3 linked regions of the Danio rerio genome follow. The protein of the gene in region 2 purifies or fractionates together with the protein of the main gene of each other region. This does not show direct contact. Links are inferred from orthologs where the notes say so. Each region holds a gene or a part of one and is shown on either strand. Other genes may lie near its edges.

What was found.
Region 1: the proteins of pxna (region 2) and ilk purify together in Homo sapiens (affinity purification with mass spectrometry; 4 studies listed by BioGRID and IntAct, with this or other methods). This does not show direct contact. The link is inferred for Danio rerio from reciprocal best matches to the Homo sapiens genes PXN and ILK.
Region 3: the proteins of pxna (region 2) and git1 purify together in Homo sapiens (affinity purification with western blotting; 8 studies listed by BioGRID and IntAct, with this or other methods). This does not show direct contact. The link is inferred for Danio rerio from reciprocal best matches to the Homo sapiens genes PXN and GIT1.

The regions. Positions count from the first base shown.
Region 1 is NC_133185.1:29,715,327-29,718,989, reverse strand, and holds part of ilk (integrin-linked protein kinase), read left to right. Parts: intron 1-821; coding exon 822-918; intron 919-1,076; coding exon 1,077-1,160; intron 1,161-2,507; coding exon 2,508-2,593; intron 2,594-2,712; coding exon 2,713-2,822; intron 2,823-3,663. UniProt on the Homo sapiens protein: Scaffold protein which mediates protein-protein interactions during a range of cellular events including focal adhesion assembly, cell adhesion and cell migration.
Region 2 is NC_133180.1:7,407,258-7,410,255, forward strand, and holds part of pxna (paxillin a), read left to right. Parts: intron 1-1,333; coding exon 1,334-1,415; intron 1,416-1,538; coding exon 1,539-1,687; intron 1,688-2,998. UniProt on the Homo sapiens protein: Cytoskeletal protein involved in actin-membrane attachment at sites of cell adhesion to the extracellular matrix (focal adhesion). Recruits other proteins such as TRIM15 to focal adhesion.
Region 3 is NC_133190.1:30,952,840-30,956,502, reverse strand, and holds part of git1 (ARF GTPase-activating protein GIT1), read left to right. Parts: exon of another isoform or gene 1-55; intron 56-2,979; coding exon 2,980-3,132; exon of another isoform or gene 3,133-3,663. UniProt on the Homo sapiens protein: GTPase-activating protein for ADP ribosylation factor family members, including ARF1.

The sequences.
Region 1 (3,663 bases), on a different chromosome or scaffold from region 2:
ACTTCATGTCATTAAAAAAATCAATTATGCAAGGTTCTTATAATTATGATTTATTAATTCGTTTTTTATTTCAATTATTACTGTTTAGTTTTAGTTTGTTTCATTAATGTTTGTTTTTTGGTTCGTTTTAGTTTAGTTTGTATCTTTAAACACACTTTTTATTTAGTTTTTATATATTTAGTTTCAGTTTTAGTTTTAATCATTTTAGTTTAACAGAGTTTAAAAAAAAATTACCTCTTGGTATTAAATGAAAGATTTGTTTGAAAAGACACCGAACCGTAAACCTTAAATGCAGATAAAACGATAAATCTTGATTTTAGAGATAATATATGTAGTTAAACATGCCTAGTTTACATTTGTCAAGGATTAAAAATACATGGAAGATTTTTATAATTAAGAAGGTATATATAATCATGTGCTTGACTGATGCGTTCAACTATAAAAGCCCCATCTTGAGGTACTTCTATATATTACAGCAGCTCAGATTTTCTGCCACAGAATGACTGCTTATTAATTCTAAAGGACATAAATATTTTTGCTGAGTTTTTTTTTTTTCACTTGTTTTTTTATGTGAATTTTTTGTTTTTCCATTGTTAATTACTTTCAGTTAACAAAAAATATTTTTAGATATTATTATTTATTAGACTAAAATAACCTTGTAATAATGACTGTTTTGTAAAACAACATTTTCAGCTCCATTTCATTTTCAGAAGTCAAATCTTGACATATAGTTCATAAAGGTTAACATTAGCAGAATCATCAAAGAAATGCTTGAACATTGGTACTCATTGGTTGGTTGTACTGTTTGGTCACGTCTCCAGGATCTGGTCAGTAATGGAGCTCAGGTGAGCATCTGCAACAAGTATGGAGAAACTCCAATGGACAAGGCCAAACCACCGCTTGCAGCAAATCTAAAAGGTAAGCACTCTCTCTTTATTTAATAATGCAGTAATTTGACATCAGCGGTGCTTTTGTATGATGTTTTTATTTTAACCTTGTGAAGTCTCAGAGATCTGTTTCTGTTAACATATTTTCCATTGTCTCTTATATCTATCACTGTTATGTTTATGAATCAGACCTGGCAGAGAAACAAGGACAGAGCCTGTCAAAAGTCCCTTACAAGGACAATTTCTGGAAAGGAACAACTCGAACACGACCACGTAAGCAAAACCTCTGAGTTTCGTTTACATTTTTAATGCAGATGCAAGCAGTTTATTATCATCTACTGTATCATTCTGCTTTCAAAGGTAAGGATTCATTAGTCTAAACTTACATTGAGCAAACAAATATCATAACATCTAAGTTGATAACTCACAGTTTATATATATATATATATATATATATATATATATATATATATATATATATATATATATATATATGTGCGTGCGTGCGTGCGTGCGTGTGTTTGTGTGTGTGTGTGTGTGTGTGTGTGTGTATATATACACACACACACACACACACACATATTTTTTTTTGTGAAACAAAATTATTTTCAAATTTGTAACATCCCATTCAAGTTCAAAAATGATGGCAGTGTTTTAAAAGTGACCACAATATTTAATTTGTCAGGGCTAAATTACACTACTAATGCTTTATTTTATTAAATATTACTCTATTCGTATTAATAAAAAATAATAAAATGAAAAAAAATTAACCTTGTTGTAAAGACTTTTTTTATAAAACAACAAATGCAAATAATAATACTTATAAAAATGTATAGATATATGTATGGATGTCAATTTCCAATAATAATTTTTAAAAAATTATTTATATTTTATATATATACACATGTACACAATATATTACACAATAATTATAAAAACTTATTATTTAATTAAAAATAATTTTATATTGAACTTAATGCTAAATGAAATATTATTGTGTATTCGTAAATATCTACAGTTTGTTTACTGTAGTGTAAGTGTTTTTGAATTATTATTATTTTATTTATTTATTTTCTTGCACTAGTTTTGTTGAATGGCCACATATACAGTTAAAGACAAAAATAAATGCTTGCCCTCCTGTTAAATAAATTATCTTTCCCAATTGATGTTTAACAAGCAGGGTCTAAGATATATTTTTACAGTTTTAATGGCTATTTTCTAGTAACTTTGCTGACTGTACATAATATTTTACTTGTATTTACTGTATATATACTAGTGTTTCGCCAGATACTTAACTGTGTTAAATAGGTTAAGGCAAGTTAGTTTAATTAGGCAAGTTATTGTAAAACAGCACTTTATTCTGTAGCCTATCAAAAAATACTAATTATTTTGGGGCTTACAATATTTACCATAAAGTTTTTTATATTTGTGAATATTATTTTTTGAATTTCAGCCAAAAATGAAAAAAATAAAAGACTTTTTTCCCAAAAGAAAAAAACTAAAATGAAAAATAATGAAAAATTCACAGAATTAATAATTTAGTCTTCAGTTGTATATTGCCTTATCTTATTAACTAAGGTTTGTTGCTATGTTTTTTTAACATTATTTTTTTTCCTGCAGGTAATGGCACACTAAACAAGCAAGCTGGCATAGATTATAAGCAGCTTAACATGCTGAACAAGATCAACGAGAACCACTCCGGCGAGGTGAGCTCATTTACCAAACCAAAGCAAACTTTAATAAGTATCCTGGCCAAGTCTGAGAGTGCTGATGACGGAAACACTGATGCCTCTGCTTTCTCTCTTTCTCAATCGCTCTCTGGCAGCTGTGGAAGGGCCGCTGGCAGGGCACAGAGATTGTGGTCAAGATGCTGCATGTGCGGGAATGGACCACCAGAAAGAGCCGAGACTTTAATGAGGAGTACCCTAAACTAAGGTGAAGAACCAATAGTCCTGTGTGGTCACATTACACAAATTAAAAAGACAGTTTCCCTCAAAATGTGTAAAATAATGAATGACATACAGAACCACAGTTATTATATTATAATATTATTTTTATTATATTTAAATCAATATTTATATGAATAATATAAATCATTTTTAAATGATAATATTGTTTTAATTAATTTGTTATAAAGATAATAATAGTAATAAAGTATATTATAATATCTTTAAAAAATGTTAAAAAGGGCACATTTATCACATTTGGCTGCTAGTTATTGCGATAATGACAAATCATTGTCTGTTTTTGGGCTTTGCAGTTGTTTTAATGTACTTTTTTTTCTTCTCTAACTGTAATACATGAATATTTAGATTTGGAAAAAAATGAAGAGATCATTTGAAAATTCTCAGTTTTTATTAGTTATTTAAGTAAAAGTTAATATTTGTTTTATTGATAAAGATCTGATAATATTTATTCCAAATTTCACATATAAATATAGTAACTTTGTAATGTGTATTTTTGTAATAATAGTATTATTAATTATTACATGATATCAATAATAATGTTCACAGTTGTTTTTTTCTTCTGGTTAAATTTCTTTAAAATAATTTGTGAAATTTCTTTTAAAATAATTTTATTCATTTATAAGTCAAAAACCTTCATATTGTATATTCCTACTTTCAAACTTTTTACTTATAAATAAATAAATAAGAACAGTTTATATATATATATATATATATATATATATATATATATATATATATATATATATATAAATGAATGCGCTAAAAACAAAAATGAAAAAACAATAGTGGACTACTTAAGGTTCAATGAA
Region 2 (2,998 bases):
AAATGGACCATCAAAAAAAAGTGTTACCAAATACTCACAACACATGGCAAATAGAGAAACACACTGCAAGTAGTACAGACAACAATGAAAATATGTCGTATAGATTGTTTATTAGATTTTATGGAGATGCACTCCCACTGCAGAGTCATCCCAATTGATTTAACATTAGAAATTCTTTCCAAACAGAGATATTAAATCATCAGGTGACATTGAGATTCACATCGCAATATATATATCGCAAAATAAATATATTGCAATGTTCGATTTTTCCAATATCGGGCAGCCCTGTTTGGCACCACTTATAGGTGATTTTAAAAGTGATTAAATATTCATTTTTTAGGTTAACCATCACTTTAACTGATAAAACCTTACTGTAAATACAGTAGTGATGGTGAAATGAAGCTTTCTGAACAGTGAACCGTTCAACTCAATTGTATTGGAAAAAGATTCATTACTCAAAGCTTTCCAAATCAGAGTTTAATGAGGACCTCTGCTGGTTAAAGTGTGGCAAAGCACTGTGTTGCAATGTTCACACCAAGCACCTCATTCATCATGCAGTAATACAACAATAGTAATATAAACAATTCACCCAATTACTGTAGTATTTTACATATAAGGTATGTTGAATTACACCACCGATGACTGTAGTAAAATCCAAAGGATTCAAAATCATTGTATTTCAACCGGTTTTACACCAACCCACTCATTCCGAGCAGGGATCGAACTGACGATTACTGCATGGGAGGCAAATGCTCTGAGGACGCCATGAGAGTGAGGCTTTTCTGCTGCACTCACCAGCTGGCGTCTGTTACACACTACACTACAATATGCAGTAGCCTTCATTGAAAATAGTTGTAAATAATGCACGTTAGCATGTTTCAAAACCTTTTTACTATAAATTACTATAGTATTTTTGCTGAAATACTGGTGTGTGGGACCAGTGCAGTGCTTTGTAACAGTAGAAATGTATGTAATCGATGCCTAATCTCTCGCTATACACTTTACTAGCCCATGAGGGTGTTTAAGCCTTTGAGTCAAAATTCGTAGCAGTCACATGTGTATAGGTGAAAATGAAGCTTCGGACGTCACTGATCACATGATTATGACAAAATGAATCAAGCTCCGGTACACTGCTTCACTGCGAGATGCATCATTTTTTGATGCATCAGCACACATCACTACTGTAAACGATCACTCAATTACTACTAACTCCAATAATTACTACGATCTTGTTTTTATCTTAAATTTGTGTTCTGTTATTGATATTAAATTGTGTGTTTTGTTCATGTTACTCGTATTTTAATTCTTCATCCTCTCTTCTTTGGTCCTGCAGAAAGTGGTGACCGCATTAGACAAAACTTGGCACCCGGAGCATTTCTTCTGCGCCCAGTGCGGGTCATTCTTCGGGCCTGAGGGTAAGAGCATCTTTCTCAGCCTCTTCTCTCCAGATGCTGTTTCCTTTTTTTCTGCTTTATTCCTTTAAAAGGATTTCAGCCATTGGCAACCATTTGTCTCTTTGTTCTTCTTTTTCCCGGCAGGTTTTCATGAGAAGGAGGGAAAGGCGTACTGTAGAAAGGATTACTTTGACATGTTCGCCCCTAAATGTGGCGGCTGTGCTCGTGCCATCCTGGAAAACTACATCTCTGCCCTCAACTCTCTCTGGCATCCTGAGTGTTTTGTCTGCAGGGTGAGTATGTGGGAATTTCCCATGGGCAGATGCAACAATGATTCACTCACCGGCCACTTTATTAGGTACGCCTGCCTAACTGCTTGTTAGCGCAAATTTGTAATCAGCCAATCACATGGCAGCGACTCAATGCATTTAGGCAGGTAGACCTTGTTGAATCCTATGCCACGAAGGATTAAGGCAGTTCTAAAGGCAAAAAAGGGTCCAACCCAGTACTAGTAAGTGTACCTAATAAAGTGGCCAGTGAGTGTACGCATTAGGGATGCGCGGTTGGCGGTTATAGCCGCGGACTCCGCGGATAAACCGCGGATCGGGCGGATGACGTTACGAAAAAATAATATTTTAATTAAATTCGGGCGGGTGGCGGGCGGTTGTACTGTTTTTATATTCATAGCTGGCGCACCAACGAAAAAGCCTACTGACTTCACAGAATGGGAGGAGGAATCGGATACACTAATTCTGGATGAAGTGTACAGAAGTATTCCTCTACAAACTTCTGTATAGACGGATCAGCAGAGGAAAATCTACTTTCCTTTTGGGAGAAATAAGGCCAGGCATTCCCCCGACTACAGCACCTTTCCAAGAGAATTCTATGCATTTTAGCAACAAGTGCTGCGAGCGAGCGCTCCTTCAGTGCAGCAGGGCGCAGTGGCTATGCAGGCGCTCCCGTCTGAATCCTGACACAGATGCTATTTTATTCCTGCATTGTGCCAAGAAAAAATCAAACTAGACCTAAAGTCAGGCATATTAAACCAATTAGCCTATGTTATTTAGGCTACACATATGTTCAATATAAACTTTTGAGTTCGGTCAGCTGATAATTTTACGTTCATATTGGTTTAGCCTATTCTATTCTAGACATGTTGGCCTCGCTTTGACGTTCCGAGGCTAAGGTTATTTTGCCAGAATTTCTTTGTCGCAAATTTAATGGCGTAGTAGCCTATTTCGTTATGCTTCAAGTTTGAGGGGAATGGGGATGATCCTAAGTCCATGGTTATTGAAGCACTTGTCATACATGCACTTTAGCCTGGTCAGGTTCGCTCAAAGAGGGATGGCATATCTATTTTTCTAATTTAATTTCTAATTGTGGGGGTGACTGAGCCTACAAGGCTTAGGCACGATATGATGTTTTTATTAAAAAATTTTCAACTGTTTGCCAAAGCATGCGACTATAGCCTATGCCTACACTAAGATATTTATGTTGATATTTTTTTTACTGCCTGTTGTTTCTTTTGGCATATAAAATAGGTATTGTCTGATAGAGATATCAATAAAGGTTCATCTGTGTCGCAGAACTGTGTTGTTTCCGAT
Region 3 (3,663 bases), on a different chromosome or scaffold from region 2:
TAAAAGTTGTGTGTGTGGGTGAGTGTGTGTTTTGTTCAAATCTGTAGTCATCTTGGCAGGTAAAAAGAGAAAATTAAGTCGGCTTCCTCTTGAACGATTTGAATCATTTTGAAGTGTTTGTAGATGAGCTGAATCATCATGTCATCTTTAGCATAAATAACATCCTATTCAAGCTATGCAGCTTCTCTGAGTTCCTCATCGACTTGAAACATGCTGATCTCTCCTGTCACTCCATCCTTACAGGAAACTGAGAAATAACCTATAGTTAGTAACGTTCATAATTAAAAAAGTGATATAAAGGACACACTGTACACAAACATGTAAATAGATAGATGGATAGATAGACATGATGCAGGTTATAATAACCAAAACCGGTATGATCTGTAAGAAACTGAAACGCCTAGTGTTATTTTTAATTGCTATTAATGTGTGTGTGTGTGTAAATATACTTCAATTTATTAAAGTTTATGCTAGTTAATACTACAGTGTGCTGTTGCATTCATTAACAAAGTTGTAGATACTGCAATATATACAGTATAATACAGTTTACTATAGTTAGTATGGTTCAAAAACGTACTATTATTTGCTATAAATACTATTACAACTTCTTATTTCATGTGGGTTGAATCGTATCTTTAGAACCATATAACATGATTGAAAGCAGCTCCTAGATAACTCATAACTGTTTCTTATTTAAAAAACACACAAGAGAAGCACCCAGCACAGTCCTTAGCTTAGCTAACAGTATTGAACATATAGATAATTATTAAAAATCATAACTTACCCTCTGATTGCTCGAGGCCTCCAACAACGTAGCTGCCCTGTGTGCTGACAAACAGAAACGCCCCATCTCATTGGCTGGCTGTAGCCAATAAACTGGCTTTGCTGCTCTTTTACTGGTATGTACATTACAGTAGAATTAATGATATTTAACAAAAATCTTTTCAGAAAATAGTTGAAATAAACCCTAAATAATAAAATAATCGTGGGAAATGATTATTTTGCACCTCAGTCCTGTTGGCTGCTGGCATTGTTCATTGGTCAGGCTTCAGCCAATGAAACAGCTTTACACCAGCCCCGCCCCTCCCCCGCTCCGCGCTGCTCACGCCTCTGCATCTGCGAGTGCACAGATGAGTTCTGCTACAGAGATCGCGGGAGATGTGTAGCAAAAGTCAGAGCGCGGGAGATTTGTAGTTGTACTGACGAATCTGAGAGGTTGTGAGTGCCGACCTGTGGTTGTAGAGCAAAGATGCAGTCAAATTTGCCGTGCACACGTGTGTCTGTCACTTTGTATTTGTGAATGACATTTTACAAATACACAACTATTAATCTGCAACTTCCGATTCAAAACACAAGTGTGTGGATTGTTGTGTGTGTGTGCAAATCGAGGATTTCAGCTGTTCACATCAGAGCTGTAAGTGTACATTTCAACCTACACATACAAATATTCTTATCACAAGTGCTCACATTTACATTTGCAAGCTCTCGAGTATTGCTACTGAATTACCTTTATAACTGTGGAGGCCATTTGAGTACAGTGAACTCATTGTCAAGAAACCAGTCTGAGATGATTCACGCTTTGTGAAGTGTAATTTTCAGCAGACATTATGGCATTCTGGCTGGTCTTCAGGATTTTTTTTTTAGAAATTAAAGTAAAATGAGAGAATCATTTACTTAAAAAAATAGTTGTATGCAGGCCTTGGCATTAACTTTTTTGATCACCAGCCACTGTGGCTAGTAGTTTTCCAACATTATTAGCCACTTTACTTAGCATACTTTTGTTGTTTGGAAAATATATTTTATATGAATAAATGTGACTTTGACATGCTAAAATGACTTAATTTAGATGTTGTGTTGTCCACATGCCTCCTCATTCATTTTACTGTTTGAGTGTATTGTGTATGAGCTTGCTCACTGTGCATGAGCAAATGGGTTGTGTTGCATTGTAATTAGTTTTTGTTTCACATGAATTTTTTAGGGCTCAAAATTAAGGATTTACCAAAATGATCTCTGACCACACTGAAAAGAAATAATTATTTCTTAGCCACACATTTTAAATGCGTCAAAACAAGCAAAATACAGCTGGATACATGTACTTTTTATTCAACAAAACTTTCGTTTTTTTTTAAACTTGACATTTAAAAAGATCTATTGTCATGTATCTAAAATATGCACAATAATCTGTCCTGGCTAAAGGTCCCAGATCAGCAGTTTACTGCACATAAATGGGGAGTTAATCTCATATTAAAGCAATGTTATTGTAAAGGATGATAATTAAACTAACAAAAATAACTGCAAGTAAAAAAAAGCAGTTAAAAACATACCGTGTGTGATAATGAAAGGATGATCACGTGCCTAAAAATAATTAAAACGAAAGCAGTGACTGCTACTGCTGCTTTCAAAAAGATATAGAACCGATCGCACAAGTTGCGTTTGCTCTACACACGGTTGTTATGCGCAAGTAAACAGGAGCGCTCATGCTTTTTGACAGTCGCACGCATCACATCACCTGTGCACGCGAGTGATCATCCTCTCATAAGGTATTCACCTGCTTTTGCTCACGCTAACACAGTTATTTTTGTCAGTCGTGCTGTTTCTCGATTCTAAGACCACATTTGCTTGCATATTGGGCCATCCTTATTGTCGAATCCTGCTTTAAGAAAACTACAATGTAAAAATTATTTCCAACCAGCCAAAGTGGCTAGTGGAAGCGGCTGTCTCACCCACCAGAGCTGAAATCTACCCGCATTTGGCTGGTTGGCGGTTGTTAATGTAAAGCTCTAGTTGTATTTAATATTGTAAGTGTTTTGCATCCTTTACTAAATAAAAATCCTTTTTTTTTCTTAAATTAAATTCAATAATTGCACGTATCTTCTAAAACTATATAAATAGCTTTTTATTAGTGTTCCCTCTGCTGGCGTTTATTGTGCTATGGCATTATATTGAGAAGTAATTGGTGATTTATGTTGTGTGTCTCAGAGTATGGACTCGTCAGATCTGTCAGATGGACCAATCACACTACAGGAGTATCTGGAGGTGAAGAAAGCACTGGCTTCCTCTGAGGCTAAAGTTCAGCAGCTCATGAAGGTCAACAACAACCTGAGTGAGGAGCTGCGGAGGCTGCAGAAAGAGGTACACACACACACACTATATACCTACATTTCGAAAATACAAGAATTTCAACAGATAGTTATGAAATGCTGCCATTAATACAACTTCACATCATATATATATATGCAAATTAATCCAAACCATTAAAAGTGCAGAATTAACACTGCCGTTCAGAAGTTGGTGATCAGTAGGATATTTTTAAAGATTTTGTTATGACATGAAATTTATTTTCAGCAAAGTTCCATTTATGTAAACAAAAGTGCAATATTATTGTGCAAAAATGACTTGCATTTAAAGTAACTATTACATTTATTCAATTTTTCGAAAAGTGTTCAAAGGTTTCAGTAGTCATTACTCTAGTATTTAGTAGTGGTCTAGTATTTCTCTAGTAATCATTGTAGTCATCAGTATTGGTAACAGTACATTTTTTAAATATTCTATCTAGAATTCCTTTAAAAGTTCAAACGAATTTATTTGAAATCACCCTGAAAACCTTGAGATACTTGGCATAAAATCCAACAGCAAACAGTTTTTTTGTTATTTTAAACAAAA